Caenorhabditis elegans: one gene and its partners. The protein of the gene in region 2 purifies or fractionates together with the protein of the main gene of each other region. This does not show direct contact. Each region holds a gene or a part of one and is shown on either strand. Other genes may lie near its edges.

Region 1 (10,993 bases), on a different chromosome or scaffold from region 2:
GATTCGATCAAGCTCGATGGACTATCTGTCTCCCAGATCAAGGAGCTCCGCTCAAAAGCCGAGAAACACGAATTCCAAGCCGAAGTAAACCGAATGATGAAACTTATTATCAACTCTCTCTACAGAAATAAGGAGATTTTCCTCCGTGAGCTTATTTCTAATGCTTCCGATGCTCTCGACAAAATTCGTCTTCTTTCCCTCACCGATCCAGAGCAACTCCGTGAGACTGAAGAGATGTCTGTTAAAATCAAGGCTGATCGTGAAAACCGCCTTCTTCACATTACCGACACAGGAGTTGGTATGACTCGTCAAGATTTGATCAACAATTTGGGAACTATTGCACGCTCTGGAACTTCAGAATTCTTATCCAAACTTATGGACACTGCCACTTCTTCTGACCAGCAACAAGATCTTATTGGACAATTCGGAGTCGGATTCTACGCTGCCTTCCTTGTTGCCGACCGTGTTGTCGTAACCACCAAGAACAACGATGATGATCAGTACATTTGGGAATCTGATTCAGCTAGCTTCACCATCAGCAAAGACCCACGTGGAAACACATTGAAGCGCGGAACTCAGATTACATTGTACCTCAAGGAGGAGGCAGCAGATTTCTTGGAGCCAGATACCCTCAAGAACTTGGTGCACAAGTATTCCCAATTCATCAACTTTGACATTTTCCTCTGGCAATCCAAAACTGAAATGGTGGAAGAAGCAGTTGAAGAGGAACCAGCCACCACTGAAGACGGAGCTGTTGAAGAAGAGAAGGAAGAAAAGAAAACCAAGAAGGTTGAGAAGACCACCTGGGATTGGGAGAAGGTCAACAACGTTAAACCTATTTGGATGCGCAAACCAAATCAGGTCGAAGAAGACGAATACAAGCAATTCTACAAGAGTATCACCAAGGATTCGGAAGAGCCACTGAGTCACGTGCATTTCAGTGCTGAAGGAGAAGTTTCCTTCAGATCTATCCTCTACGTTCCAAAGAAGTCTCCAAATGACATGTTCCAGGTAAGAATATTGAAAGTTATATAGCATTTGTTTTAATTGCGTTTAGTTATTTTCAACTAATAATGTTATTTCAGAACTACGGAAAAGTTATCGAAAACATCAAATTGTACGTTCGTCGTGTCTTCATCACTGACGATTTTGCCGATATGCTTCCAAAGTATCTTTCCTTCATTCGCGGTATCGTTGATTCAGATGATCTCCCACTCAATGTCTCCCGTGAAAACCTCCAACAGCACAAACTTCTCAAGGTTATCAAGAAGAAACTTGTCCGTAAAGTGCTCGACATGCTCAAGAAACTCGACGGAGCCCAATTCGATGACTTCTGGAGCGAGTTCTCTACCAATATCAAGTTGGGAGTTATGGAGGATCCATCCAACCGTATGCGTCTTGCTAAACTTCTCCGCTTCCAGTCTTCTAATGATGCTGACAAAACAACTACTCTTGCCGCCTATGTCGAAAGAATGAAAGAAAAGCAAGACGCCATTTACTACATGGCTGGAACTTCCAGAAAGGAAGTTGAAACTTCTCCATTCGTAGAGAGACTCATCGCTAAGGGATACGAAGTTTTGTTCCTCACCGAAGCTGTTGATGAGTACTGTATTCAAGCTATGCCAGAATATGAATCAAAGAAGTTCCAAAATGTGGCTAAGGTGAGTATTGAAGGCTTTTTTCTTTAGTGGCTATGATGTTTTACCTATCAACATGCTATTTTTCAGGAAGGAGTTACCATCGATGATGGAGAGAAGGCCAAGGAAGCCCACAAGGGTCTTGAAGAGGAGTTCAAGCCACTTACTGACTGGCTCAAGGAAACTGCACTCAAGGATCTGATCGAGAAAGCAGTTGTTTCTCAACGTCTTGTCAAATCACCATCTGCCCTTGTTGCCTCTTCCTACGGATGGTCTGGAAACATGGAGCGCATTATGAAGTCGCAAGCTTATGCTAAGGCAAAGGATCCAACTCAAGACTTCTATGCTACTCAGAAAAAGACATTCGAGATTAACCCACGCCATCCAGTTATCAAGGAGCTTCTCAAGAGAGTCACTGCTTCTGAAGAAGATACCACCGCTGCTTCTACTGCCAAGCTTCTCTTCGAAACTGCCACTCTTCGTTCTGGATTCTCACTTCAAGATCAAGTTGGTTTTGCTGATAGAATCGAAGCTGTCCTTCGCCAATCGCTCGATGTTTCCCAAGATGCTCAAGTTGAAACCGAACAGCATATTGAAGAGGCTGAACCAGAGCCAGAAGCCGCTGAAGAAACAACGATTGAGGAGGAGCACTCTGAGCTCTAAACAATGTAAAACATCTCCCCATTCCATTAGCTTTATGCACTCGATGATATTGTGATAAGATAAGATAACTTGTGTTGTTTTCTATTTATTTAATGTTGTTTCTCCCCCCACTTCTCAGTCTCAGTACTTCTCGAACACTTTACGGTTCCTTTCCCCTTTTGTGGTTGTAATTGCAATATATTGCATTTGAAACTAAAATAAAATCTGTTTCATATTATTTTCAATCACTATCATTATCTATCATATTCTGGAACTTTTCTTCAGCATCCGAATCTATATAGTCATCGTCTTTTGCTTCCCGATCATCATCTGTCGACAGCGAACATTGTGAATCTTCGTGGTACTCGTTTATAATCGTCTCTGGTTGAATCGGAATTTCTTTTTCTATCGACATGACTCTCGGAGCAATCAAGAATCGAGCCATATACTCCTGTCCGCACATATTTATTGATTCAAGTTCCATTTTAAATTTATTCTGAATCATCCAGTCTAATTCTCGTGTCACCACTATTTCTCCGAGTTGAATCGATCGAGGAATCATCTTCTCAATTTTCACAAAATCAGTTCGAACCAATGGAAGACATTGTGATTGATCGATGGTGAAACGATGAAAATCAGTTGGGAAAAGACTGGAAATTTGTTGAAATTATGAAAATAAATATAAAATCGTCTTACCCGATCCATTCAATCGTTGGAACAAAGGCTCCTCGGCCTTCGGCAAATTCTTTCGTAGGTCCATATTTGTAAGTCAAGTAGATTTCAATACCTTAATTGAATTTAAGTATTACTATTTTTAATATAGTTATTTTTTAAATCCTTTATTAAAAATTCACCATGCGGATCAGCGTCAAACAGTCCGTATATTGGAAATTTTCTTTTTTCACTCAACATTTTCAGAACATTTCGAGTTGCAATATCCGGATATCCTTTCGAAGTTGCTAGAATCCCACGTGGAAACATTGCTTGAAAATTTTCATCCATTAATTTTTGAAAAGTTGTGTCTTTCTCAACAACAAGTATGAAATCGGCTTCTGATATTATATTCGAAAATAACAGTGCATCTGAAACACCAGCGTTGATCATTTTTAAATGTTTTTTATTACCTTACCTGTGATCAAAACTTCTTGAACTCTCGCATCAATTACACCAACATTCTCAACTAAAAAAGTAATTGCTCCACGAATTATCCCGCGTCCACAAGAGAGCTGAAATTTGGAAATTATTTCTTGTTTATTAATGTCACACTGACAATGTTTAAATTAGCCCGACTTTCATTCAAAAGCTCACAAATTGATTTTATTGAACTGTCTAAATATTTCTGGTTTCCATAAACTGCTTTATGTTCATAATACAATTCTCTTTTCGTTGATCTTTTGTCATTTTCGAGCAAATCATAAACTTGGTGAAGACAGTGCAAATCTCTATCCAATTTTCCTTTCCTCTTTGCTGTATAACGAAGGCAAAAATGTGATTTACTAGTCGATCTGAAAAAAAAAACAAAATTACTCAAACATTTTCAACAGGAACTTATTACATTCTCAAAGTCAACGATTTCTCTTTGTTATCCATTTGCCTTTTAATATCTGCAAGAGCGAATTCAATTTTTCTCATAGCTTGTTCCTTCGGTGGTATTACTTCATCGTCAAGAAAACTGTCATCAGAATCATCAGAATCCGAATAAATAGTGGATTGTTGAGATTCTACCTGAAAATTGCAAAATTAGATTTGAATCAGCAATATTAAGCTTACAGATCCGGGCTCATGATCGATATTTGGGTTGAAAGAATATTCATACATGCTTTAAACTAATTAGTAGAACAAAAATACAGATAAAATGGAATAAAACTTTGATAAAACTTGGACGCAAGCTAATAAGGCTCCAGCTGCAAGATACAAAAAGTCAATAATCGAAAGGACCATACGTGAAAATAAAGCACGGGTCCCGCAGCGAATCGGAGTAGTACTGTAATTTTCGTCAGATTTTTAATACTCGGCGCCGACGAGTCTCAATGTTCGATCTTCTTTTCTATATTCTTAAATTGACATTTTTCTTCAAAAAATATTTTAAAATGCATTTCTTAAATATAACTCGGTTTTTCTCAATCCCTGCCGAAAAACCACAGCTTAAATGCAATTTTGAAGCGAATGACTGCACCATTCATTTCGTCGCAGTCGAAGAAGATTTTTATAGAATATAAAATTTATGTATAGTATTCATTTTTTTCTTAAACTAGCATTAAATGTTGTTGCGCTGAAATATTTTTGCTATATTAAATTTCCTTCAAATACTTTATTCAAATAGTCATAATGAAGCTCTGATATGGTCTATATCTACCGTAGTCTTCTTGTATTTTCCACTATTCCTTCTTTTCTTGTCTCTTTTCCCATTCATTTGTCCTCTCCGCCGCAATGGCCCGTTTCCAATGCAGGCAGACATGCAGAGTGTCTGCGTCTCTCCATTTCCAATAGTGTTTCTCCTCACTTTGCCTCTCTGGCCAATCGACGCTCGGCGCGTCCACTGCATACATTCAAACCTTCTTCTTCCCCAGCTGCTTAGTCTAACACACAATTTAGACCATTTTTCATGGATTTTCTCGGTTTTCAGACGAATTTCACGATATCAAGCGATACTAGTTATCAGTATACACTTATACGTCGTTGGAAAACGAAAAAACCTCTCAGGATTCATGAAAAGTCGATTCGTACACGTCACTACTTATCGATTTTTTCACAATCTTTAGAAATCGTCAATCTTTTAGTTTTTTCTTAGCTTTTCTTATCTCACTAGCTCACAAAGGGCCCCCGAAGAGTTCTCCGTGTTTTATATGCGCTAGAAATTTTGAATGCGCGCCGAAAGTTGTGTCCTGCAATACACTACATCTCTCTTTCACTTGCACGCTATTTCTCGGTTCCATCAGTCCTACTCTTTTTGCACTAGGATGGATGGAAAGTCTATATATTGTCCTCGGTTTTATTATTCACGCAGGCTTCTTCTGAAATTCGCTTATATACTATTACCGCAATACTTTTTGTTTATCTTGAATGTTCAATTGAATCTAAAATTCTGAATTAATAATTGTTTCAGACTATCAATTTGAAAGAAGATAGTGTATCAAATTGCTGGAATTTTGAAGAATGAGCGGAAGGCCGGCGTTTGAGCAGTTTACTGCTCAACCACCGCAACCAGCCGGTGAAGTTGTTGCTCAGCAAGCTGGTGATGGAGCTCAAGGCCAAGAGCTGACAATTTCCAAACTGGAAAATGCGATAACTTCAATGGAGGAACAAGGTCTTCAGAATGACCATCGACACGCCAAAGCAGTTCTTTTGAAGCAAAAACTCCAATCTGGTCTCCCAGACGCCGTTCCAGGACAGGAAAATGGCGGGAATCAACAAATTACCCCAGCACAACTCAATCAACTGAGGGCTCAAGTGTCAGCCTATCGTCTTTTGGCTCGAAATGAACAAGTACCGGCCAACTTGATTGCGGATGCTGTCATGCTCCGACCAAAAGTTACAACTTTGTTGCCTGAACCTTATGAATATCCAGGAGAGGCAGAGAATGGAGAAAAGTTGCCGTATGATTTGATGAAGGTAGGTAAAATGGATCGAATGAAACTATACAGTCTACTTTTTTACAGATTTTCAATCTCCATCAAATACGCTGTAATCGTCCAACAACAATTTCTGTTCCATCAGGAATTGATCCTGTTGGCATGCTCAAGCAAAGAGAAAATATGATTCAAAACAGAATCGGGCTACGCATGAAGCTACTCAATAACTTACCCGCCGACATTCCAGATCACATGAAATTGAAAGCAGAAATCGAATTGCGTGCTTTACGTCTTGTCAATCTCCAAACTCAGGTAATTTCTGGATTCGAAGAGTATTTTAACCAATAAGCTGTTTTTAGGTGCGCAGTGAAGTGATGGCTTGTCTCAAAAGAGACACAACTCTCGAAACTGCACTCAATCCATATGCGTATCGACGCACAAAGCGGCAATCTTTACGCGAAGCTCGTGTTACCGAAAAGCTTGAGAAGCAACAAAAGATGGAGCAAGAAAGAAAGAGAAGGCAGAAGCATACTGATTTGATGCAAGCTATCATTCAGCATGGAAAGGAATTCAAGGAGTATCATAGGTGAGATTGTATTTAGAAAGTTCTCCTACTAATTAAATTATTTTCAGAAACAATCTTCTGAAAATGGCAAAGTCTCGCAAGGCAGTCATGACATATCATCAAAACAATGAACGTGAACGCAAGAAGGACGAGATTCGAAATGAAAAACTTCGTATGCAAAAACTGATGCAAGAAGATGAAGAAGGATATCGTGCTCTTCTTGATGAGAAGAAAGATCAACGTCTTGTGTATCTTCTTCAACAAACCGATGAGTACGTCGACTCTCTGTGCTCACTTGTTCGTCAACATCAAAATACCGAAAAGAAAAAGAAGAAGGAAGATAAGAAAATTGAAAAAGGAAATCAAATGGATGAGGAAGCCAGGGTTCACGTTCGGGAGAGAAGCACTGGAAAAGCGCTTACTGGAGATCAAGCTCCAAAGACTGAAGAAATTGAGTTTTGGCTTGAAACTCATCCAGAATATGAGATAGTTCCACGTGATCAGCTTAGTGATGACGAAGAAGAGGAAGAGGAAGAGGCTCCAGTGGAACCAGAAGAAGAGAAGGATGATCAGTACGCTGGAATGGATGAAGAGACAAAAGCTAAGATGATCCTCGAGAAGGCACGTAACGAAGAGGATGAATATGATCAGAAAACGAAAAAGCAAATGGCTGATTACTATGCAACTGCTCACAAAATCAAAGAAAAGGTTGTCAAGCAACACACAACGATGGGTGGTGGTGATCCGAATCTTCTGCTGAAACCGTATCAGATTAAGGGATTGGAATGGATGGTCTCCTTATACAACAACAATCTGAACGGTATCCTCGCCGACGAAATGGGTCTAGGAAAAACTATTCAGGTAGGAATTTGGGAAATGAGGAAATATTAATCAATTTTTAATTTTCAGACAATCTCGTTGGTGACGTATTTGATGGAAGTCAAACAAAACAATGGACCATATCTTGTCATCGTACCGCTCTCCACGTTGTCCAATTGGCAGAACGAATTTGCTAAATGGGCTCCATCTGTAACCACTATCATCTATAAAGGAACTAAAGATGCTCGTCGTCGTGTTGAAGGACAAATCAGAAAAGGAGCGTTCAACGTTTTGATGACAACATATGAATATGTGATCAAAGAGAAAGCACTGCTTGGTAAAATCCGTTGGAAGTATATGATAATCGACGAAGGACATCGTTTGAAGAATCACAATTGTAAATTGACATTGATGTTGAACGGATTCTTCCATGCTCAGCATCGTTTACTTCTTACTGGTACTCCACTTCAGAACAAACTTCCTGAGCTATGGGCTCTGCTGAACTTCTTACTTCCATCGATCTTCTCATCTTGTGGAACTTTCGAACAATGGTTCAATGCTCCATTTGCGACTACAGGAGAGAAAGTAGAACTGAATCAAGAAGAGACGATGCTCATCATCAGAAGACTGCACAAGGTTCTTCGTCCATTCTTGCTGAGACGTCTCAAAAAGGAAGTAGAATCACAGCTTCCTGACAAGACCGAGTATGTCATCAAGTGTGACCAGTCTGCTTTGCAAAAGGTTATTTATCGTCATATGCAGAAAGGATTGCTTCTCGACGCTAAAATGTCATCTGGAGCACGTTCGTTGATGAACACTGTCGTGCATCTTCGCAAGCTTTGCAATCACCCGTTCCTTTTCCCTAATATTGAAGATTCCTGCCGTGCATACTGGAAGGTCAACGAAGTCAATGGAACCGATCTAATGCGTGTTGCTGGAAAGTTGGAACTTCTCGATCGTATTCTACCGAAACTAAAGGCAACAGGTCATCGAATTCTGATGTTCTTCCAGATGACGTCTATGATGAACATTTTCGAAGACTTTTTGAATTTCCGAAGATACACGTACCTCCGTTTAGACGGTTCAACTAAACCAGACGAGCGTGGAGATCTGCTGACACAGTTTAATGCTCCTAACAGTGATTTGTTCCTTTTCATGCTTTCTACAAGAGCTGGAGGTCTTGGACTCAATTTGCAAACTGCTGATACTGTTATTATCTTTGATTCGGATTGGAATCCTCATCAGGATATGCAGGCTCAAGATCGTGCACATCGTATCGGACAAAAGAAAGAAGTTCGAGTTCTTCGTCTCATCACAGCTAACTCTGTTGAAGAGAAAATTCTTGCCGCTGCTCGCTACAAGTTGAATGTCGACGAGAAAGTTATTCAAGCAGGAAAGTTCGATCAACGTTCAACTGGAGCTGAAAGAAAGCAAATGCTCGAACAAATTATTCAAGCAGACGGAGAAGAGGAAGAAGAAGAGGAAGTTCCAGATGATGAAACTGTGAATCAGATGGTTGCTCGCTCAGAGGAAGAATTTAATATCTTCCAATCGATGGATATTGATCGTCGTCGTGAAGAAGCTAATCAACTTCACCGTAAACCCCGTCTTCTAGAAGAACATGAAATTCCAGACGATATTCTCAAATTGTCATTCGATTATGAGGAAATGGAACGAGCCAGAGAGGAAGGTCGTGAAGTTGTTGATCAAACTCCTAATCAGAGAAGACGCAGAAGAGAGGTAAGGAATATATAAGAGAATTTACAATATTAATTCATTTTCAGGTCGACTACTCTTCCGATCTTTTGTCCGATGAACAGTTCATGAAACAAGTTGAGGAAGTTGAGGATGAAAATAATCAAGCTGTGGCTGAACGTAAAAAGCAAAGAAAACGTAAAATGGCTGGATTGGACGAGAATGATGATTCTATGGATGACGTTGTTCTACAACACAAGAAGAAGAAGACGGATCCAGAATTGGCAGAAAAAATCAATGAAATGCTTGATGTTATTCTAGAATATAAAAATGAGGATGGAGAACTCATCGCGGATGTATTCCAGACACTTCCAACTCGTAAAGAACTGCCGGACTATTATCAAGTGATTTCCAAACCAATGGATTTCGATCGAATCAACAAAAAGATCGAAACAGGACGTTATACGGTTATGGAAGAATTGAATGATGATATGAATTTGCTTGTGAACAATGCTCAAACATACAACGAAGAAGGCAGTGAGATTTATGTTAGCTCTGAAACAATCGGAAAATTGTGGAAGGAACAATACGATAAGGTATGATTGATTTTTGAAATTTCGAAGTTTACATTACTTTTTCAGTTTATGAATCCACCGAAGCCAGTAGAAGAACCAGTCAAGAAGAAAGAACCTTCAACCCCATCAACTTCATCTTCTCGTCCCTCAACCAGTGGCACTCCAAGTGTGTCAGATCTTCAGCGGACACAACAGGCAACTGCTCAGCAAATGTTAATGCTTATGACACATATGCAATCACTTCCACCCGCACAGGCTCAGCAGTTTCAACAGGCATTGATGACACAGACCGGTGGAAATCAAGCCCTAATGCTTCAATATATGCAGTCGGCTATGCTAGCTCAACGTGCACAAGCTTCAACTAAAGTAACCCCCAAAAAGGACGAGAAAAAAGAAACTTCGTCTTCTGTAAAGACCGAGGAAGCTAAGAAAGATGATGAACCATCAACATCGTCTGCAAGTGCACCACCACCGAAAAAGAAGAAGGAATCGGAAGATAGTGAAGACCCAATGGAAGAAGATGAAGAAGAGGAGATCATTGGACAAAAGAAGGTTACTTGAACTTTTTTAATGTCTTTAAGTCTAATATTTAATTTCCAGGAACCAGCATCAAGCCGTCGAAAGTCTCGTCCAACTCGCCGCTTCTCGAACGAGGATGAGGAAGAAGAAGACGACGAGTGATCAAAACTAGTCTGCTCCAAATATTTTCATGTCCCCATAAACATTTATTCTCTGTTTGTGTATTCTTCATGTTCTATGATTTCTGATTTTTTGAGCTGTCACCATAAATATGTCCCACCTCGTTCCCCCATTCTTATCTCTCCTGCTTCACAGTTATCTCTCATCGCTTTTTTACTGTTTATCTCTACTTCTCTTTTCTGTCGCAAGCTACACGTTTGCAGGAAAAAATCCCTGAAACAAAAGCATTAAGCATTGTATTTAACCCATATTCCACTTTTAATCCATACTATTCGTCAACTATTTTAAAGAAAAATTTAATTTTATAAACATTTCGAGAGAAATATGCTTTTGTTATCAAGAATTATTTTCGAATTTCGTTGCGATTTCTTTTATTAAATACTTTCCGTCTTAGTTCGAGATTTTGAATGTTTAATCAAACACACTTATGATTTAGGTAAACGGGAACAAATGTCGGCACTCAGAAGCACTAAGGTGAGTTTAAGAGCTTGAAAAGGTTGAATACTTGCTCCAAAATTGAAAGTGTTATCTGAAAACCCTACGTTCTATCTTCTCAGGGTCTCGTTGCTCTCGTCACTGGCGGAGCGTCTGGACTGGGAAAGGGTGCTGCCGAAGTTTTGGCAAAGGCTGGTGCACAGGTCGCTATTCTTGATCTTCCACAGTCAAAAGGAGCCGATGTTGCGAAGGAGATCGGAGGAATCTTTACACCAGCTTCGGTAACAATGATTTCATGCTACATTTGTAAAGAGAAACTTCAAGTAAAATATTACCCAGACGCCAATTTTGCGA
Region 2 (10,993 bases):
CACTCAAAATGAACATGAAATTCGTAAATAGCGTGTTCTCAGCTTTCTAAAAATATTTTTTTCGACCCAAAAATCGCAATTTCAGTTTTTCGCCCATTTTTCGGAAGGCAAAGGTCCACTTTCTTATTTTGGAGCGGAGGACGATTTTGGAGATGGACAGTGTTTTTTGAAAAATTTTTTAGGACATTGTAGAGACATCAAAAAAATGATCATTTTTCAAAATTTCAAGTCGATACGTTGAATATGAAGATTTTTATAAGCGAAATTGAATTTTTTTGAAAAACGGTCTCTAACTTGGCGGAACATGAAAATATCCGAAAACTTAAAACTGGTAAAATGTAGAAAAATATTTTTCACTCACTATTCAACAAAATTTATCTTCTGAAATTCAATGAAAGTTGAGTTATAAAGGGTACAACAAAAGACTTCTAAAAATTTTTGTGAATTTTGGAAAAATGGCTTTGACTCCGTGTAACTTTACAAAATGTTGGTGTATTGAAATAAAAACTATTAAATTAGAAAGAAAAAATATTTCTCATCATTTTGTTAGTTGGACATTTGTTTTTCAGGTGTGTATTTTTTGAGATACGCCAGTTTGAAAATACTCAGTTCAGAGAGTTTTGGAGGTTATTTCATTTGAATGAACAAATTGAGTAGATGTACCTTTGATGTATTCTTGGAATACGGTCCTTGTACGTGCCTCTTGACTGATGAAGAAAACAAGTAGACAATGAGCACAGGTAGGCAATGAGAACAGGTAGTCAATGATTTTGGAGTCAATGAGTATTTGCCTCCACGAAGGCACCACTCTCGCCCGCCCTCACACCATTGCCCTTATCTGTTGCACACAGCTATAGTGGGGCAAGGTCCCGCACAGCGTCGGCCGCAGTACACAGAGTGTGATAGTGCGGGCGCACAGGCGTGCGGGAGTAGGGCGGGCGTGGTGTGCCCTCTTAGCGCCTCGTCTTCGTGGAATGCAGACACCTTACGTACACCTTACGGGTTACGGAACAAGTAGTTCATCGCAGACCTCCTTCGTGGTCGGCTGCGCTTATTCTATAGGGAACACACAGAAATATCGATTTATGTATAGTTCCGAACACGAGGTTGTTATCAGAATATCAATCGTATTAGAATGATTTCAGGTTAGTATTTATTTGGTTCAGAATAAAACATTTATGTAATTTTTGGTAAAGTAACATGCCAAGGTCCATATTAAAACTACACAGGCTCCCAGATGGTGTTGTGCTCCAGATTGTATATCTTCTAGTTGTAGCTCAACTCTTTTGCCTGAAAATTGAAAAAAATTTCAAATCAAAATTTTCTCCAAAAAAGTACCGCAATTACTTCCAGTATAAGTCAAATTTGATCTATACTCTCTGTAATTAACATACGAGCCTACATAAATCCGGAAAAGTTGGCAAGGCTCGTAGAATTCCGGATGATTGTCTTGTATGATTGCCAATCTTTCTCCTCTTGTGAGAATGTTCTGAAAGTTTGGAAAATAAAATTATCCTACATATAGGCGATGAGCAAGTCTACCCAAATTCCGCTCATTTTCGCGTATTTCAAATTTGGATTCGAGATTATCATTGCAACTGGGGATGACTCTAAAAAATTTTTTTCAATGTTATAAAATTTTCTTTATGAAAAAACCACCATTTAATACTGTAATATAGTGTAGCGAATCCAGAAAACCGATGCTATCCAAAGTTGTATTTTGAATAATCAGGGAGCCGAATAAAAATTCTAACACTCTAAGCTTCGTCACATAGTCCTCATCTCCACCTTCTATAATCAAATTCCCCATTATTATTTCACAATTATTCGGGAGCTCCTCCATTGAGATGAAAATGCATAAAACTATATCTTCTAGATTTCCATAGTCCTCGCATAATTTTGCGTCTAGATTCTCCACAGAAAGATCAGACTGTAGGAAGAAATTGTTCAACTCGGGGAGGGTTAGGCAAAAATCTGGATGCAAATTTTCAAAGTTTACTCGAATAATTCCACTCCAATAATTTTCGATATCCTGAAATTCACAAATCAGCAATTATTTTAACAGAAAATTCCGTCAAAACATTACCTGAAAATTCGGGAGCCCCAGCCGCGTCATATTTGGATTATCGTGAATATTAATGAGAAGTTGCTCATCGATTCCTTCATTTTGAACTTTTATTCTTTCGAGTTTCGAAATGAATGAGAGATTCTGCAGGGTAGTGTGGCGGATTTCAATGTTTCCTTTGATGACTTTAACGGTTGATAAATAAGAAAGATCTCCTTCACCAGTGACATTGAAAACCTTCAAACCATTTACCAAAGTATCACAATTATCCATGTGATTCGGTTTATAAACATCAACCTCTCCAAATTGGCAGCCTGGAAAGAGTACATTCATTTACAAAATCCCATTTTCATACAGTTGTGTCAAAGTTTTTTGTTAGAAATTTAGATAGAAATATAGAGAAATATTTGCACTTTCTGAAAATCTCTTTATTTTCAAGTAAAAGTTCCGGAAAGTTGCTCAAAATGGGACGCGAAATCGCATTTTGCTAGGTAATCGTGTGGGCGGCAACGACATTTTCCGGCAAATCGGCAAATCGACAAATTGCCGGAATTGAAAAATTTCCGGCAATTTGGCAAGTTGCCGGAATTGAAAAATTTCCGGAAAATCGGCAAACCGGAACATTGTCGATTCGCCGAACTTGCCTGAAAAACGGGAATTGCCGAAAATTTTCGGCGAACTGTGGTTTTGCACATTTTTCGGAAATTTCAGTATTTCAATTTCAATAGGCAACATTGTACGCATCCTATGAACATTCCTACATCTACTTCCGGCAAATTGGCAAATTGCCGGAATTTAAATTCTTGGCAAATCGGCAAATCGGCAAATTGCCGGAATTGAAATTTCCGGAAAAATCGGCGAACCGTCCAGCTGCCGATTTGCCGCACTTGCCGGAAAAACGGCAATTGCCGAAAACTTTCGGGCAATTGCGGGTTTGCTCATTTTTTTTTGGAAATTTAAGTATTTTAATTTCAATAGGCAACATTGTACGCATCTTATGAATGTTTCTACATCCATTCGGAAAAGTAAGTAAATTCTATAGAAATATCTGAAGAAAACGGGAAAAATGTTCAAAGAGGCACAGTTTTAATTGTTTCCGTCTTATAAAAATGCCCTCTAAACACTTTCGGCAAATTGAAATCCGGAAACCACAATTCGGCAAATTGTCGAAAATAAAAAATTCCGGCAAATCGGCAAACCGGCAAACGACAAATCGACAATTTGAAAATCTAAATTTCTGGGACATTGCCAAGCCGGCAATTTGCCAATTTGCCAAATTTGTGGACAAAGAAATTTTCTGAACGTTTTCCATATAATATCTTTCAAAAATTTCAATCAAAAGGAAATGTACATATTTTCAAAAAGTGGACAAGTTTTTCTATATTTCTGCAAGATAAAAATATATTTCATAATTTTGCCAAAAAAATGTGCCCGCCATCTCCGGTCCACAGTGAATTTTTTGCTTTTTACCATCGCAATCTCTCTTGTTTCCAAAAATCTTCATGTTCATATAGTGATCTAGATAATTCGTGTAACAAAATATTTCAAGTTTCTCATTATTTTCAACTTCGAAATTACACTCCTTCAGACCTTCTCGACGAATCATATTAAATCTATATAGCACATCAATTTCGTTCAACTCGGAATTGTTCTTGATGAATAAGCCATCTAAAACTAGAAGTTTAGGCTCTTTTGCTGAAATTAAAATTTTCAACTTACAATCGCTGCATGAAAAATTAAATGGCCCATTTGGAAACCTTGTAGTTATGAAAGATAGGCTTGTATACTTTGTATTCTCGATTCGTAACCCGCCAACCAAAAAGTTCATTTTCTTGAAGGCCTTTTCCAATTTCTCATGTGCTAAGTCAGTTCTAGAATCTATAACTATAATTGCACAGACAACCTCGCATTTCGGGAAAAATTGTATTGTTTTTGAAGTTATTTCGGTGTAATTAAACATGCACTTCTTTTCTGAAACAAAAAAAAAATTTTAAAAATTGATAATCGTAAGAAAAAATTTCCCACCACAGCTATTTGAATCAAATACATTTTGTAAAGCTTTAGATAAATTGAGAGAGCTGCAGTAGCGAAATAAAATAAAAAGTAGGAAAATGCAAAAAATCGATAGGGAAAATGTTTTCATGTTGAGCATGAGATTTGATGCTTGGGCAACAAATTATTTCAAAAAGTTTGGGGACATGCGAAGGTAGTTATTATAGCTGACTCAAAATGTAGTGTGATGTAGGGGTGTCAAGAATAACGTTGATTTTATCAAATACTAAAACCCCAAAAATGTCGGACGCTAAAAAACGTGTGAGATCAGTTTTTAGGAATTATGCAGACTGTGACAATTGTTAACGTTTGACGGGAACTGTGGTCCGAAAATTAAAAAAAAATTGAATGATTTATTTCAAAAATACATCTTTAAAGGGTTTAAGCTCCATACAATTATAAAAACACACAAATTAAGTTTCGATGCTTCCAAATTTCCAATTTCTACTCTCTCTCCGCAGTGACTTCCGGTATGCGTCAAGTTAGTACGATGCAATACCAAACCGTATCTTGATTATGCTCGTTAAACAGATCGCAAGGTTTTGACTTGAACAAATTAGCATAATTATCTTGGATTATGGCAATTCGTTTTCCTCTCGTCACGACAGCCTAAAATTGTTAATTGTAGTATTAAGCCAATTTTCTAGAATAACTACCATTCCTCCCACTGAGACCTTTTTCAAGTTTGGATTAGAATAAATTCGGATGACTGGTGAATCTGTAACTTTACGATTTGAAGTTGTACACTGAAAAGCCTCACCTGAACGAAACTATATAACTAAGGTAACTCAGAAAATATGTATCATTAAGTTGGGTATTCCGTATTGTCACTGTTCCAACCAAGTAACTAGTCCAATCCAACTTGCTCACATAAACTTCATCGCCTTCTCCAATTGTTATATCTCCAATAATAGCGTCACAATCGTTTGGCAAGTCACTCATAGATTTGAAAATACAGTTGACAGCATCTGGTATCTCTCCCGGATCCGCACAAAGTTTAGCGTGAAGGTTTTTGAAATGGAAGTAAGACCACATCAAACGATGGATTTCTGGCAATGTTAGACAAAAATCAGGATGTAGATTTTCAAAATTCGCGTTTCTCAATTTGAGTCCGTCCAAGTGATATGTGTCGTGAGCGTTTTTGAATTCTTCAAGCTTCGGAAACCCGAGACGAATCATTTCCGGATTATCGTGAAGATTGAAATCAATTTGCTCGCCACTTCCATTGTTACTAATTTTCAAAATTTCTAGATTTTCTAGACAAGATAAATTTTGAATATTTGAGTGATGAATATTAAAGTCTCCTCGAATATATGTCAGATTTGAAAATAGCTTAACACTGATAGATCTGTTAAGTTGGAAAGTTCCAATCCAGCACTTAGACTTTGGCATGCTGTATAGGTTCTAATTTCAGCCTCGCTTAACTTTCCACCATGGCATCCTGAATTTGTGGATGGGAAAAAATTGAAAAACAATATCTTTAGATATCTAGGTACTTACTGCAATTTTTCGAATTCCCAACAACATAAATTTCTTTGAGATAAGGAACATATCCATAATCACAATCCACTTCTAGAATTGCGTTGTTTTGAACTTCAAAAACGCATTCTCTATTGTCACCAGCACGGTAGGTATATATCGAGTTAAACATATTATTTGGATCACCTAATTGGGAATTGTTTAGTATAAATATTCCTGCTGAAAGTATTCATATAACATATAGATATGCCAAAACAAAAGCTTCACAACAGAAAATTTGAATTTTCCGTTTTTTTTTCTCGAAATAATTTGATTTTCCCGCGAAACAATTTCTCAGAAAGTTAGAATTCCCGTCAAAAAAAATCTCGGAAAAATTGAACATCCCGCCAAGTGTTTTCTCAGAAAATTTAAAATTTTGCGCCAAAAATATTTTGCAGAAAATTCGAATTTCCTTCTAAAAATCTTTCTCTGAAAATTTGAATTCCCCACCAAATGTTTCCTTTTGAAATTTGAATTTCTCGCCAAAAATATAAAAAAATAATTTTCTGCCAAATTATTTTCCCCGAAAATTTGAAATTCTATTGAAGATGTTTTTCAAAAAATTGAATTTCGCGCCAAAAATTTTCTCAGAAAGTTTAAATTTCCCGCCAAAATGTTTTCTCATTAAATTTGAATTTCCCGCCAAAATTCGTTGGTCTCACCACGATGGATCTCACCACGATGGGTCTCACCACAATGGGTCTCGCCACGAAGCGAGAGGCTCCGCCCATTGATGACGCACTCAACAGATGTACACTTTTTTTTTTTAATATGTAAGGAATGATAGGGATCATAACTTTAATAAAAATTCTTACAAAAATCACAAGCAATATTGAAACTTCCAGATTCTTTATCAGTTGTAAAAATAGAGAGATCCGTCAAATTTGAATTCTCAATCCATAAGCCGCCAAGTAACGTACGCATATTCTTGAAAGCCTTTTTAATTTGAACAGCAGATACATCTGTTTTTGAGTTGATGACAATAATTGCGCAGACTAGTTCACACTTTGGGAAAAACTTTATTGTAACCGAGCTTATTTCGGTGTAATTGAAAACGCACTTGTCCTCTGAACATTTTAATTTAAAAAAAAATTAGAAAAAATTAAAATTTCTAAACAAACCGCATTGGAAAAAACTGACAATAGTATTTAAATTTTCTCGGGGATCTGTTTTACAAATTAAAATAAAAGTGAGAAAAAATAGAGAAAATAGAAAAATAGTTGGGATTTTCATGTGGAGTTTGACCAAATGTATTAGAAAGGACAAAAACTTGAGCTTTTACATATGCAGCAATTATCTCGAATCGGAAGTTTAAATTATAAATGTCGAAAATTTGTAAAATTTTGAAGACTAAATCGCGTGATTCATAATGAGAGGCTATAAAAATGAAACAAGGTTTTTTGATCTATTACAGCAGGCTACTATTAGATTTTCGCGCCTTTTTTTGTAGGGCACTTGCCTTGGCAATTTTCTTCGTGCAATTTTCAATTTGCATCACTCAATTAGTTCAAAAACTTTTTATTTGCGTCAACACTACATTTTTATGCGCTGAACGAGGAGAAAGTGTATTCACAATCAGTTCGCAAACAAAGATCATGACCATTTTTAAGATCATTGACAAAAACTGCATCATCTTTTTGTAGTGATAACGGGGGGTACTAAAATATTGAGAAATACTTTCCAGTCTATAAAATTGGAAGATAACCGGAAAATTTTCATTTTCCACAAAATGTTTGGAAAACTAATTTCTCTGCTGGGACTAGTTGCCCTCTGCTCTGCAGGACAATTCTCAATTTCAGTAGAAAAATCTGGATCTCTTCGTGAGCAGCTAATCCGAGAAGGACGCTACGGACAGGAGCTTGCTAGAATCCAGCAATTGAGCACTGGAAATGTGTCGTTCTTTGACCATTTCGATGAGTACTATACCGCCGGTGTTAGAATTGGAACTCCAGGTGAGTTCTCGGATGTTCGGGGTGCTTCAAAAAGAAAACAAAAAATTTCAGCTCAACACTTTCAAGTAGCCTTTGACACTACATCCTCAAATCTATGGGTTTTTGGAGTCGAGTGCAGAAGTCAAAACTGCCATGGAGGACGAGGTCGTAGGTGAGTATGCTGACCCCAATCTAACAGTTGAGACTTCTGGAAGAGTTTTAGAGATCGCGAATACAATCGCACTGCTTCCTCGACATTTGTCGCCGGAACTTCAAGCTTCAACCTGCCATATGATGGTGGACACGTTTCTGGAAATGTAGGAAAAGATACAGCTCAATTTGCCGGTTTTACTATTCAAAGCCAAGACTTTGGAATCGGAACCGCTGCCACCAGACTTTTCGGGGAAACATTCGATGGAGTCCTGGGATTGGGATGGCCGGCTACTGCACTTAATGGAACTAGTACAACAATGCAAAACTTACTGCCACAACTTGATCAGAAACTCTTCACGACTTATTTCACAAAATCCAACATGCATAACGGAACAGCAGGAGGTGACATTATGTTTGGAGCAATTGACACCACACATTGCCAATCACAAGTCAATTACGTCCCACTTGCCTACAACTCGTTCTGGAGTTACTCTGTGGATGGATTTTCAATCGGCACTTATTCAAGAACTCAAACAGAAACGGTATTGTTTTTACTGGGGGTTTTTCTCGCTAAATTAGAATCAAACAAAACTCCAAATTGAAAGAGGAATACATTAGGTTAATTTGCGAATTTATCAGAATGTACGCTGTAAATGGTAGTAAAGTTTTATTCAACTATTAGGTCGTTCAATAAGTTTTTTCGTTTTTTTCTAGTTTTGGTTTTTTCTTGGATATTATTTTGCGGTTGTATAGAAGACTGTTAGTAATGACAAGCCCAACAATATCAGCCATATCGGCCAACTTCCAGATTATTTAAAACTCCGAACTATGGTGACGAAAAAAAATTTTTTTTTTCGAATTTTTTCATTTCTTTATGAAATCAAAAGCTTTGTATGCGTAGAGGTATAAGACAGTTAGTTAAACAAAACTGAAAAATTTCAGACTCAGGCATAGCTTATTGATAGCGCTACATCTGTTGGAAGTGCCGAAAACGCTTGCGAAATTGCCTTTTTTATGTTTGAGCAGTGCCAACTTTGAAATCATGAGAGATATACAAAAGTAATGTATTACAACATTAATGTACACATTATTAGCTACACTTCATTAGTATATCACATTGTTGTACCTCTTCACGTTTCTGAGTTACAGTCGATAGAAGTGAGCTTGGTCCAATTTTCAAAAAACCCTATTTTCTCATGTTTTGGCCTGTAACTCCGAAATCAGGCGTCTGATCAAAAATCTTTAAATTAAAAAATAAGCATTTTTTATTTATAAACAGGTACTCAGTTGACCGTTTTGTCATATCTCATATGTGCGCAATGATATGAACCGTCAACGAACAAAAAATGCATGATCGAAAAAATATAGAAATATATTGCAAAAAACTATTTTACTCTTTCCGAAAACAACATGAGCGTTCAAAAATGCATGTAATATTTTGATTACTAATTAGGCTATCATAATCTAAAAACAGTTAGAGGTTATCTTGTAAAAAATTTTTTTGGATTTTTTTTTCGAGGATTTTTTAAAAAGTTTTCTGAAATTTCCGCAACTTTTCTTTGGCGATTCATATCATTGCGCATATATGAGATATGACAAAACAGTCAACTGAGTACCTGTTTATAAATAAAAAATGCTTATTTTTTAATTTAAAGATTTTTGATCAGACGCCTGATTTCGGAGTTACAGGCCAAAACATGAGAAAATAGGGTTTTTTGAAAATTGGACCAAGCTCACTTCTATCGACTGTAACTCAGAAACGTGAAGAGGTACAACAATGTGATATACTAATAAAGTGTAGCTAATAATGTTACATTAATGTTGTAATACATTACTTTTGTATATCTCTCATGATTTCAAAGTTAGCACTGCTCAAACATAAAAAAGGCAATTTTGCAAGCGTTTTCGGCACTTCCAACAGATGTAGCGCTATCAATAAGCTATGCCTGAGTCTGAAATTTTTCAGTTTTGTTTAACTAACTGTCTAATACCTCTACGCATAGAAAGTTTTTGATTTCATAAAGAAATGAAAAAATTCGAAAAAATTTTTTTTTTTCGTCACCATAGTTCGGAGTTTTAAATAATCTGGAAGTTGGCCGATATGGCTGATATTGTTGGGCTTGTCATTACTAACAGTCTTCTATACGACCGCAAAATAATATCCAAGAAAAAACCAAAACTAGAAAAAAACGAAAAAACTTATTGAACGACCTAATACGTATCAACATAAAAAATGTGATTATTTGTCAACTAGAAATGTAACTTTATCATTAAAAACCGTGATAATATAAACTACAAACTCTGGCGAATTATCACTATAGAGTTTGTAGTTAGTACCATTACAGGTCAGGCCAACTCCAATAATTTTAATGTCTGGAGAATGTCAGATTATTCAGATTCAGATTACTGTAGGAGTTATGAATGAGTATTGTAACGCGGTGTTATTGGTATTTAGAAGGGAGCCAGCACATTTTTTTGCAAAATTTGAGTGTTTAGGCCTTTTGTTTCAAAATTTTAAACCGCCACATGAACAATTTTGGGTACTTTTTGAGAACGCTAATTGTGAAATTCAGTTGCTGAAAACCATAACTATCAAGTTTCAGACCATCCCCGACACTTCATCCGGCTGGACTGGTGTTCCAAACGTTGTCCTTGCCGGAATCGTAAAAGCCACTGGAGCAACATACGACTGGAATCATCAAGCATACACTCTCCCGTGCTCTTCAACAGCCACACTACCTGACATGGTTTTCACAATCGGTGGAAACTCGTACAACGTCAGAGCAGTAGAATATGTGGTCAACTTGAACTTGCCAAACGGACAGTGTGCTCTTTCTCTGTTCGGAACAGCCGCCTCACAATCTGGACCGGCGTGGATCCTTGGCGACAACTTCCTTAGAAGTTATTGCCACGTATTTGATTTTGGAAATTCTAGAATTGGCCTTGCAAAAGCAATTCAGAACTATTAACATTTTTATGGTGTGTCAGTGTATAGAATAAATATTTTCACTCTGAAGAGATAAGAGCTCAAAATTGAGTTCAATATGTTAATGCAGTTCCGTTTTATGTTGGTATTGAAACAATCAAACTGTTACAGTTGATGTATGTCAAACTGGCCAGAAGCTTCACCTAGTGGATGGTTTATTTGTTAATTATCTCGGTGCCATCTTGAATTTACATCACTAATCAAGCTCAAAACTTTTCGATTTGCGTCAAAACTGTAATCAGCTATATTTTTATGCACCGAAAGTGTACTCACAATCAGTTTGCAAAC
Region 3 (10,993 bases), on a different chromosome or scaffold from region 2:
GATGCGATCGCGGTTTGTTAATTGCGAAAACACCTTCCCTTCTCTTCAATCGTTCGCTCAATTTCTAGAAAATATTTCTGAATAATCTGAAAACCTCTAATCTTGTTTCTTAGTTTTTAACTTTTTGTCGGTGTTCCCGATAATCTCTCGCCCTCTAAACTCACTCGATCGATTGTCGTTTATAGGTAAAGTTTTTAGGTAATGATTTGGGTCCAGGCAGCTTTGGTCGCCTCCTTCCTGGCGTTCGCCAGTGCTGGAGGAGCCGTTCTCGAGTATACCGACGGAAACTTCGATGATCTCATCCAAACCCACGACATTGCTCTTGTCAAGTTCTACGCTCCCTGGTGCGGACACTGCAAGAAAATTGCCCCAGAGTATGAGAGAGCTGCCCCAAAACTCGCATCTAACGATCCACCAGTCGCTCTCGTCAAGGTAAGATAACCATACTTATTTACACAGCCATCGCTCATATATCGATCGCAGTGACACTGACAAATACGCGAAAGCTGATAAAACAGCAACGAAAGCCACATTGAATAGAAATATATGAAATGCATACAAAGGATTCTTTGAATTTATTGTTCTAGTCCTTATGCATATAGAAACATTTGTCCGTCATATATATTATGTATGCTGGTCCAAAATGGTTATTGTGTATTCAAAAGGCCATTGACAATGAGATCGGCTCGACATTTACATTTTCCCACGCATCAAATCACTGTTTGTTGTCAGGTCTTTACTCTACAGAATACGGACATCAATTAACGATAAGAGCAAAAACACCAGTCGCGTAGCAAACAGTTTTATCTATACCACAAACGAGTGCGATATGGTAGTAAATGAAACAAAAGATTATGTTTTTGAAGTTGAAGATTGTAAAAAAAAAGAAACAAAGATTTGAACCACGGTTTAGTAATAGGAATCCAGCCCCCCTTTAAGAATTCTCAGTTTTGAAACAGTAAATTCAATATTATCTCGAAAACGATCTATCACATGTGCATTGCCATAGAGAATAGTATATGTTTGAAATTTTTGAAGCAGTAATTGACAGACTTTTTCAATTAAACATTTTACGGTGTTCCTTTTGGCAAACAATTCCTCTTCTTTTCACGTGTATCTTTGTAAAATTCTCGAAATCTCTTTCCCAGTGTTATCCGAAAAAAGGCGGAGCTTGCCGCAAAGACCCAGAAAAATGGGCGTCACGCTCAAGTTTTCGAGAAAATATAAGATCCACCTCCTTGCGTTGTACGGCTCTGACACATTTTCCGGAGTTTTTTCAATGAAAAGAGGCCATAAAACTTCATTTGACCGACTTCGTTGTAATTTCGTGATTCTAAAATTAGCAACGCATGTTATCGTTAGAAAACAAGTAGTTAGGGATGGTCACCAAGGGTGTCAGTGTCCCGTAAAAATTACAAAAACGGGACAGTGGGATGTCCCGTTCCCGCGAAAACACCCAAAAAACGGGACAACGGGACATCCCGTTCCCGTGAAAACGCTCAAAAACGGGACAGCGGGACGTCCCGTTCCCGTGATAATTTTAAAAACGGGACAACGGGACGTCCCGTTCCCGTGAAAACACCCAAAAAACGGGACAACGGGACACGGGACTTGACACCCTTGATGGTCACCAAATCATGTGCTACACAGCACCCTAGATTGCGGGAGCCGGCCCTGTTGTCGTGAAAATGAAAATGTTCTCCAATTTCAATCAGTCGATCATGTTTTAATTCGAATTGAAAATATGATATTTAAAGCTAATTTTAAAATGCTTGAATTAGCTTGCATTTTTTTAAAAGTTGAATTTCAATAATTTAAGTTTTAATATCTCTGAAAAGGAATAGGATGATGCATGTGAATGAAATACTGATTTCTCTGCCAATATCGCATCCAAGAGAGTCGATCAAAAATTAGTGATGCAGCCTCTAATAGACTTGCCTGAATAGTTTCAAAATTTTCAAATATATTCTTTATATGTATTTTTTCAACTGCGTCATATAGTTTCCAAAGCTAAGGGTCATTCGTAGCTTAGTCTGGCATGTGACACTAATAGAGGTAATTTCAGTATCCTAATAGTAAGAATCAAAAACATGACCGAATACTTTTTGATTAATTCGATCGTTTCAAGGTATTGGAAAGATTTCATCGATTAGTTTTATTTATTGGACGACGATAGTGACGATCACATAGTAATAACGTGGGTGTATTATAATAATGTTGAAAGAGCCTGTTCAAATCATTTTGGTTGACACATCTTGTTTATTCACTTCTGCAATATGACGAAAAGTGCAGCGTTGTGGCCATGTTCCAATACATAATCAATGGATTTCTGAATCAGGGGTGTGCGGCAAATTTGCCGAAAATTGCCGACTTGCCGAGCTCGGCAAATTTGCCGATTTGCCGAATTCGGCAAATTTGAAAAAACCAGCAATTGCCGATTTGCCGAGCACGGCAAATTTCAAAAAGGTAGATTTGCCGAATTTGCCGAGCTCGGCAAATTTCGAAATTTGCCGCACACGTCAAAAATTTTACAGTACAATTTTGAGTAAAATTATTGATTTTTTCGCCAAAAATTTAGTAAAATGACACAAAATTGAGTTAGTTTTATGCTTAAGCAGACATACTACACGGAACTAATTCAGAAACCAGATGTGTGTTAAGAATTCGGTAGTTTTGGTGTTCCAAAAAACATCAAAAATTATCAAAATTTTCCGAGTTTGTTAAGCACGGCAAATTTTGAAAAACCAGCAATTGCCGATTTGCCGAGCTCGGCAATTTTTTCCATTTGCCGCACACCCCTGTTCTGAATCATGGTCTCGCAAAGTATATCCAAAGTTTGAAAAACATTTCATGGTGTCGTAACTTATATTTCAATACGTTTTGTGACTTTACAATATTTATTGCATTTCACATAGGTGAATGAACTCATTATTAAATACGCATATGTATTTCTCTCATTGTTTTTTTTTCAGGTCGATTGTACCACCGAGAAGACTGTTTGTGACAAATTCGGAGTTAAGGGATTCCCAACTCTTAAGATCTTCCGCAATGGAGTTCCAGCCCAAGACTACGATGGACCACGTGATGCCGATGGTATCGTTAAGTTCATGCGCGGACAGTCGGGACCTTCTTCCAAGGAACTTAAGACCGTTGCCGAATTCGAGAAGTTCACTGGTGGAGATGAAAATGTTGTCATCGGTTGGTTGATTTATTTCTTGGCTTTTTTAAATTTAATTATTTAAAGGATTCTTCGAGAGCGAAAGCAAGCTTAAGGATTCTTATCTCAAGGTTGCTGATACCGAACGTGATCGTTTCTCCTTCGCTCACACTTCCAACAAAGACATCATCAAGAAGGCTGGATACTCTGAGTAAGTACTAATTGTGAATTCGCATGTTCCTGATAATTTAATGAGCTATTTTTCAGTGACGTCGTTGTCTTCGTTCCAAAAAAGCTCCATAACAAGTTTGACACTAACGAGTTCAAATATGATGGTAACTACGACACCGATAAGATTAAGAACTTCTTGGTCCATGAAACGTTAGTCATGATTAAATTATTGTGCTTGTAATTAATTATCATATTTTAAGTGTTGGATTTGCCGGAATTCGTACTCAAGGAAACTTGTTCCAATTCGAGCAAAAGCCAATCGTCATTGTTTACTACAACGTTGATTACGTCAAGGATCCTAAGGGATCCAACTACTGGCGCAACCGTGTCTTGAAAGTTGCTCAAAACTATAAGAGAAAAGTTCAATTCGCCGTTTCCAACAAAGAAGAATTCTCTTCTGAAATTGAAACCAATGGACTAGGAGAGCGCAAGGACTCGGATAAGCCAATCGTTGCCATTCTCACTAATGAAGGAAAGTATCCAATGGACCAAGAATTCAGGTGTGTTAAAGCTCTGATATATTATCAGAAAATAATTTCAATGTTTTTCAACCGATATTTAATATAATAATAATTTCAGCGTTGACAATCTCCAGCAATTCGTTGATGAAGTTCTCGCCGGAAATGCCGAACCATACATGAAGTCTGAGCCAATCCCAGATGAACAAGGAGACGTTAAGGTTGCCGTTGGAAAGAACTTCAAGGAACTTATCATGGATGCTGATAAGGATGTGCTCATTGAATTTTATGCTCCATGGTGCGGACATTGCAAATCATTGGCTCCAAAATACGAGGAACTTGCTGAGAAGGTAGAATTTTTTGTTACATAAAATTAATACGACGTATTGTGAATAAGAATTCGCAACAGTTGGTTTTTTTTAAACATCTTCCCATAGTTCACATTTAAAAAGTTTATTTTTTACTTATTTTGAAACACGAATGTGAGAAAAACTTAAAAATAAAAATAGAAGTTAGCATGCAAGTTATTTTTTACATAGTAATTTTTTATTTATTAAAGTGCTTTTGTGATAAGCTTTCTGAAAGGTTTTTCAAAAATACAAGTTAACTTTAATTAAACTTTTTTAAATATTTAAGTTTACACTGGGAGACACTTAAAGTATTCAGGCTTGTGATATAATTTGTAAAATACTTTCAAATTTTGTAATTTCAGCTCAACAAGGAAGATGTTATCATTGCTAAGATGGATGCCACCGCCAATGATGTTCCACCAATGTTCGAAGTTAGAGGGTTAGTAATTTTATCCAATGCTGATCCTGAATTATTTGTATAATTTTGCAGATTCCCAACTCTCTTCTGGCTTCCAAAGAACGCTAAGTCGAACCCGATCCCATACAATGGAGGACGCGAAGTTAAGGATTTCGTCAGCTTCATCTCAAAGCACTCTACTGATGGGCTCAAGGGTTTCAGCCGCGACGGAAAGAAGAAGAAGAAGACTGAATTGTAATTGGATAATTATAGAGAATTTTTATCAAATCCCTCCCTCGTTGTTTCCCTTTTGTAATTTATTTATTTATTGTTTGCAGCTTCGACTAGGGTTCCCAATCGAAGAATTTTCAACTTGACGGTTGTTTCACGGTTTCTTTCTTGTTTTATGATGTAAAAAGGACCGTTTGGTGCCTTCATTATGGCGTTTCGTACGCCTTTTTTGCCAATAAACCTTCTGGTCTCTAATATTTGAGTTGTTCTCACACAAATACATGAAAAGCATCAATGTGGGAGGCTCTATTCTGACTAAAAATGCAAGTTTGAATTCGCGGTTAGAGTAACGAGCACTTTTGATCGCGAGCGGTTGCGTCGCGGTTGTGAGGTGTTCATGGCTGGGCGATTCGCTTTTTTCTGAAGTGCGCATCTCTTTTTGGACCGATTTCTTGGCTCACAAGCAGAATTTTTCGATTAAAATGTTTTCTATAGACAGCTAAATTTAATTAGTACCCTTTTCAGTTAAAAAAATATAGGAAATTGCACCGGAAAGTACTATTAATGGGCCTAGTGCAATTGTTTTTTATTCCGATGTTAACGGGGATCTAGTACCGTATTTAACAAATTGCACATACTTTTGAGAATTTTTGAATTATTTTGATGTTATTTTATTATAGTTTAGTGATGTTTGAAAAAAAAGTTTTTTGATTTTACGTCAGTGATTTCATTGATTTTTTTTTTGAATTTTTTTCCTCTTGTAAATATAACGGTATCGGCGCCAAAATGAAATAATTTGAATATTAATAAGATTGTTTGCTAAAATTAGCTAAAATAGTTATCAAAATAGTAATATTTATGAATATAAATATAATCGAACAAAATTTTGCTAAATTTTACCGTCTTTTTGGAATTTTTACGGGGTTTTTTGTTGAGAAAAAATAAGAATTTCAGATATGTGGAATCAGTCTGAATCATCATCTGGGAGTGATGCAGAACCTGATGAGAAAACAGATGAACCTGTGAGGGAAGAAGAAAATCCTGAAGGAAACAGTACCAGTGAAGATAATGATGAAAAAGAAAAAGGTTGGATATTAACTATTTTCAGAATTCATCAAATACATTTAAAATCTTAAGTATCTGAAATTTTGTGAACTACAAAAAAGAATGTTACATTACACGAATACTATTTTAAAAAAATAAGTTATTTTTATTTGACTCAATTTCCAGCTGCGGATTCACCTGAAAGTTCTTCTGATCAAAGTGACGACAGTGATGATGCTAGTGAAAACTCATCAAGTTCAGAACCAGATGAACCTGCCCCGAAGAAGAAAAATAATAATAATCGGGGGATGGATGCAGAAACAAGAAAAGTATGTGTCCAAAGATCAAAAACACAACAGAAATTAATTTAATATATTCCAGCTGCTTGAAAATGAAAACTACTTTCGACGTTCAAAACGATCAAAACGACAAGATGATTCACCGTCGGATAATTCCGAAGAATCACAATCTTCTGAAGATGATTGGGATGATCGACGAAAACCACGGCGAACAGTAACAAAAAAAGTTGTCAAGCAAACGAAAAAAGCAGTTTCAGTTGTAAAACGGAAGTCGGTGAAAGGAAATGTTAATTATGCCGAGAAAAATTCGGATGATGACGTGAGTTGTTGAAATATTCAAATATAGCGCCGAGTGGTCTCTCCGCGAAAAATATTTTTAGAAAATGTAATTCAGTAATGCGCCTTTGATACAGTAGGCCGCAAAAATTATTTTTTCCTTCATTTATTAGCTTCAATTTAAAAACATCTTAAAATTAAAGCTATTTAATAATTTTTTTAAGTATGAGTCGTAAAACTAAAATGTGGAACTAGTTTCGTCCGAACTTCATTTTAAAGACCTTTTCTAAAACTAAAATAATCTTAAAATTTAGCAGTTTCCTATATTTTATTTTTCCAGATCGACGATGACGACGTTCTTGAATGGGATGAAGAGCCAGCAGTACCCGCAGAAGGACCTGCAATTCTTACTGAAACTGTCGAAAGAGTTATCAAATGGCGGCACGGTGTACCTGGAGCAACGGGTTCTGCAACAACTTGTTATAATATTGCTGATAAAGGGGATCCTAACGATCAAATTCCCGGTGATAAGACAGAGCAGCAATTTTTTGTCAAATGGACAGGCTGGAGTCATCTGCATAACACATGGGAGTCTGAAAACTCATTGGCCTTGATGAATGCAAAAGGACTCAAAAAAGTTCAAAACTACGTGAAAAAGCAAAAAGAAGTTGAGATGTGGAAGCGGTCAGCCGATAAAGAATACATTGAATTTTTTGAATGTGAACAACAAATGGCAGAAGAACTTTGTGAAGAATACAAAAAAGTGGAAAGAGTCGTAGCTCATCAAACATCAAGAGATCGAGCTGCTGATGGATCAATGGCAACTGAATATCTTATCAAGTGGTCTGGATTACCGTACTCGGATTGTACTTGGGAAGATGAAAAGATGGTTGCACCTGAGCAGATAAAGGCTTATTATCATCGAATTGAAAATCTGAAATCTCCGAATAAAAATTCAAATGTTAGTTTGAAGGACAATTTATTTCACTTTTTATTATTAAACCTCTACAAAAAATAATAATTTAGGTCCTCCGGAAGCGCCCGAAATTTGAAAAATTTGAGTCGATGCCGGATTTTCTGAAAACCGACGGAGAATCAACACACAAACTTCGTGATTATCAACTTGAAGGTCTCAATTGGATGGTATACGCTTGGTGCAAAGGAAACAGCTCAATTCTAGCCGATGAAATGGGCCTTGGAAAAACAATTCAATCGATTTCTCTTCTCGCTTCATTATTTCATCGTTATGATCTTGCTGGACCATACCTCGTAGTTGTTCCTCTCTCAACGATGGCTGCTTGGCAGAAAGAATTTGCTCAATGGGCTCCTGAAATGAATCTTGTTGTTTATATGGGCGATGTTGTTTCTAGAGATATGGTAATAAATAATATTTGTATTTTTATATTGAAAAGTAGTTTTGTAGATTCGTCAATACGAATGGTTTGTCGGCGGAACGAAGAAAATGAAGATCAATGCAATTCTGACAACGTATGAAATTCTTCTCAAAGATAAAGCATTCCTGTCATCAATTGATTGGGCAGCTCTTCTTGTTGATGAAGCTCACCGTCTCAAAAACGACGAATCTTTGCTTTACAAATCTCTCACACAGTTCCGTTTCAACCATAAGCTTCTAATCACAGGAACACCTCTCCAGAACTCATTGAAAGAGCTGTGGGCTCTTCTTCACTTCATCATGCCTGAAAAGTTCGATTGTTGGGAAGAATTTGAAACAGCTCACAATGAATCGAATCATAAAGGAATATCTGCTTTGCACAAAAAGCTTGAACCATTTTTGTTGAGGAGAGTAAAGAAAGATGTTGAAAAATCGTTGCCGCCGAAGACGGAACAGATTCTCAGAGTTGACATGACGGCTCACCAGAAGCAGTTTTATAAATGGATTCTTACAAAGAACTACCGCGAGTTATCGAAAGGTGTCAAAGGATCAATTAATGGATTTGTAAATCTTGTGATGGAATTGAAAAAGTGTTGCAATCATGCATCCCTCACTCGACAATATGATCATATCTATGACGATGCCCAAGGAAGGTTACAACAACTTTTAAAATCTTCTGGAAAACTAATCCTTCTTGACAAGCTTCTATGCCGTCTGAAAGACAAAGGTCATCGAGTTCTGATCTTCTCTCAAATGGTTATGATGCTCGATATTTTACAAGAGTACCTTCAATTACGACGCTTTCCTTCACAACGACTCGACGGATCTATGCGTGCTGATCTTCGGAAACAAGCTCTTGATCATTACAATGCTCCGGGATCCACGGATTTTGCCTTCCTTCTGTCCACGAGGGCTGGTGGATTAGGAATTAACCTCGCCACTGCTGATACAGTAATAATTTTCGACTCAGATTGGAACCCACAGAATGATTTGCAAGCAATGTCTCGTGCACATCGTATTGGTCAAACAAAAACCGTGAACATCTACCGACTAGTAACAAAAGGTTCTGTTGAAGAAGAGATTGTTGAACGAGCGAAACGGAAGCTTGTATTGGATCATTTAGTCATTCAAAGAATGGATACCACTGGAAAAACAGTGTTGTCGAAGAATGCAACTGCCAGCGGAAGTGTTCCTTTCGATAAACAAGAACTTAGTGCAATTCTGAAGTTTGGAGCTGTTGAATTGTTCAAAGAGAAAGAAGGTGAAGAACAAGAACCTGAAGTTGATATTGATCGAATCCTGATGGGCGCGGAGACTCGAGAAGCTGAAGAAGAAGTGATGAAAGAGAATGAACTGCTCAGTTCATTTAAATATGCAAACTTCGCAATCGATGAAGAGAAGGACATTGCTGCAGCAACTGACGAATGGGCGGCTATAATTCCAGAAGAGGATAGAAATCGAATTCTTGAGGAAGAACGGATGAAGGAGTTGGCTGAAATGAATCTAGCACCGAGACAAAGAAAACAACCAATACCACAGGTTGTCGAAGATGATGATGGTGACGATGATGAAGAAGAAGATGATACTGGAAAAAAGAAAAAGAAGAAAGCAGTGGGAAACTTCACAATTCCTGAAATCAAACGATTTATCAAATCATTCCGAAAGTTTTCGATGCCTCTTAACAGGTACGTGCTTCTCATGTCTTATTAGTTTTTTGTTAACCTCTGAGCTCATTGAGTCGGCTGTGCCACTGCTTTGTAACTCTTCTCTCTAAACTTCTAAACTCTCTAAATTGTTCTCATGTTTTCTTTTCCCCAATCTTCCCCCACCCACCTGTGTTGTTTTTAGGCTCGAGGAAATTGCTCAAGATGCGGAACTCGAGGAGCACAGCACTGACGAGATGAAGAAACTTGTTGAAAGTTTGAGTGAGGCGTGCAAAAAAGCAGCCGATGAGTTCGACAGTAACGAGAAAAATGGTGATGCCGGTGCAGCGGAAAGTGAAAAGAAGGTTAGTTCGAATTTTTTGAGCCAACTTTTTTTTTGTTCATTGAAAATATTAATTTTCTCTGATCAAAACAATTGATTAATTTTTTTAATTAACGCGTTTAAAGTTTTTTGATGAAGCTAACTTGTGTTTGTTATGGAAATAATAATAATATGTATTTTATTAACAATTTTCTTGCAGGACATCGAAAGAAAATTCAAATTTCATACATGTGACGTTAATCTGAAGCAAATCGAACGAAGTCATGCTGAGCTGAAACCATTACACGAAATACTCAAGTCAGAAGAAACGAAAACTTCATTCAAACCACCAGCAAATGCTAAATTACAAAAAGGTTGGGATGTTGATTGGAGTCGACCTGATGACTCGGCATTGCTCCTGGGTGTCTGGAAGTACGGTTACGGTAGTTGGGAAGCGATAAAAATGGATCCTACTCTTGGATTGGCTGATAAGATTTTTATTAAAGACAAGACGAAAAAACCGCAAGGAAAAAACTTACAAGTTCGAGTCGATTATTTGTTGAAACTAATGTCCAAGGATAAAGTGAAGACAACGGAAAAAAAGGAAAGAAAACGAAAGGCAGATGATGTACCAGTTGGACCAGAAAAGGTTGGAATTTAATGTCTTCTTATTGAATATAATTTAAATTTTTCAGAAGAAAAGGCATACGAATAATGTTCCTCAAGAGGGAGAAAAGAAGAAAAAAGAAAAGAAAGAAGAGAAAAACAGCAGCAGTTTGAAAGATCAGCTAGCTCTTCTTTCGATTGATAAATCTCTTTATGGAGGTGCTCTAGAGGATAGCAGTGCCAAGCCATTCCTAGGTAAAAACTTTGAAAAAATATTTCAGAACTTACAGTATATGTTCTAAGACATTCAGATATGAATTTGACTGCAAAGAAATGTGGATTTTTAGAAAAAATAGTATTCTTAAATTAAACTTCATATGTCTGAAATTCGAAAAAAAATAATAATAACAGCTCTGGCTTCTAATCATCCTATATTCATTTATGAAAGTCTAAGAACATCTATTGTAAGTTGAGTTGAAATTAACTCCAAATCTATTCCATTAAAAAAATCAAAAACGTTTATGAATTTTCAGAATGTGTGAAGCTTTGCATGCCGGTACATAAATACATGAAAAAACTGAAGGAA

What was found.
Region 1: the proteins of irld-12 (region 2) and swsn-4 fractionate together in Caenorhabditis elegans (co-fractionation; one large-scale study listed by BioGRID). This does not show direct contact.
Region 3: the proteins of irld-12 (region 2) and chd-1 fractionate together in Caenorhabditis elegans (co-fractionation; one large-scale study listed by BioGRID). This does not show direct contact.

What each region holds. Positions count from the first base shown.
Region 1 is NC_003282.8:11,120,639-11,131,631, forward strand, and holds swsn-4 (SWI/SNF chromatin remodeling complex core catalytic subunit swsn-4), read left to right. Parts: upstream 1-5,385; 5' UTR 5,386-5,435; coding exon 5,436-5,891; intron 5,892-5,938; coding exon 5,939-6,163; intron 6,164-6,210; coding exon 6,211-6,437; intron 6,438-6,484; coding exon 6,485-7,277; intron 7,278-7,325; coding exon 7,326-8,975; intron 8,976-9,019; coding exon 9,020-9,526; intron 9,527-9,571; coding exon 9,572-10,057; intron 10,058-10,105; coding exon 10,106-10,186; 3' UTR 10,187-10,524; downstream 10,525-10,993. Other genes in the region: enpl-1 (Endoplasmin homolog), read left to right, coding at 1-1,011, 1,086-1,661, 1,728-2,300; Meiotic recombination protein spo-11, read right to left, coding at 2,521-2,929, 2,976-3,066, 3,134-3,361, 3,409-3,505, 3,550-3,784, 3,835-4,004, 4,050-4,097; ard-1 (3-hydroxyacyl-CoA dehydrogenase type-2), read left to right, coding at 10,655-10,678, 10,762-10,920.
Region 2 is NC_003283.11:3,017,199-3,028,191, forward strand, and holds irld-12 (Receptor L-domain domain-containing protein), read right to left. Parts: upstream 4,209-10,993; coding exon 4,091-4,208; intron 4,037-4,090; coding exon 3,785-4,036; intron 3,734-3,784; coding exon 3,536-3,733; intron 2,380-3,535; coding exon 2,087-2,379; intron 2,033-2,086; coding exon 1,660-2,032; intron 1,611-1,659; coding exon 1,543-1,610; intron 1,490-1,542; coding exon 1,339-1,489; intron 1,291-1,338; coding exon 1,163-1,290; downstream 1-1,162. Other genes in the region: asp-8 (Peptidase A1 domain-containing protein), read left to right, coding at 7,365-7,587, 7,639-7,738, 7,790-8,261, 10,323-10,688.
Region 3 is NC_003279.8:7,009,996-7,020,988, reverse strand, and holds the start of chd-1 (Chromodomain-helicase-DNA-binding protein 1), read left to right. Parts: upstream 1-5,765; 5' UTR 5,766-5,780; coding exon 5,781-5,910; intron 5,911-6,054; coding exon 6,055-6,197; intron 6,198-6,249; coding exon 6,250-6,486; intron 6,487-6,783; coding exon 6,784-7,404; intron 7,405-7,410; exon of another isoform or gene 7,411-7,469; coding exon 7,470-7,820; intron 7,821-7,866; coding exon 7,867-9,521; intron 9,522-9,684; coding exon 9,685-9,844; intron 9,845-10,021; coding exon 10,022-10,450; intron 10,451-10,496; coding exon 10,497-10,662; intron 10,663-10,940; coding exon 10,941-10,993. Other genes in the region: pdi-3 (Protein disulfide-isomerase), read left to right, coding at 202-432, 2,973-3,198, 3,245-3,368, 3,425-3,538, 3,589-3,888, 3,968-4,196, 4,559-4,635, 4,687-4,852.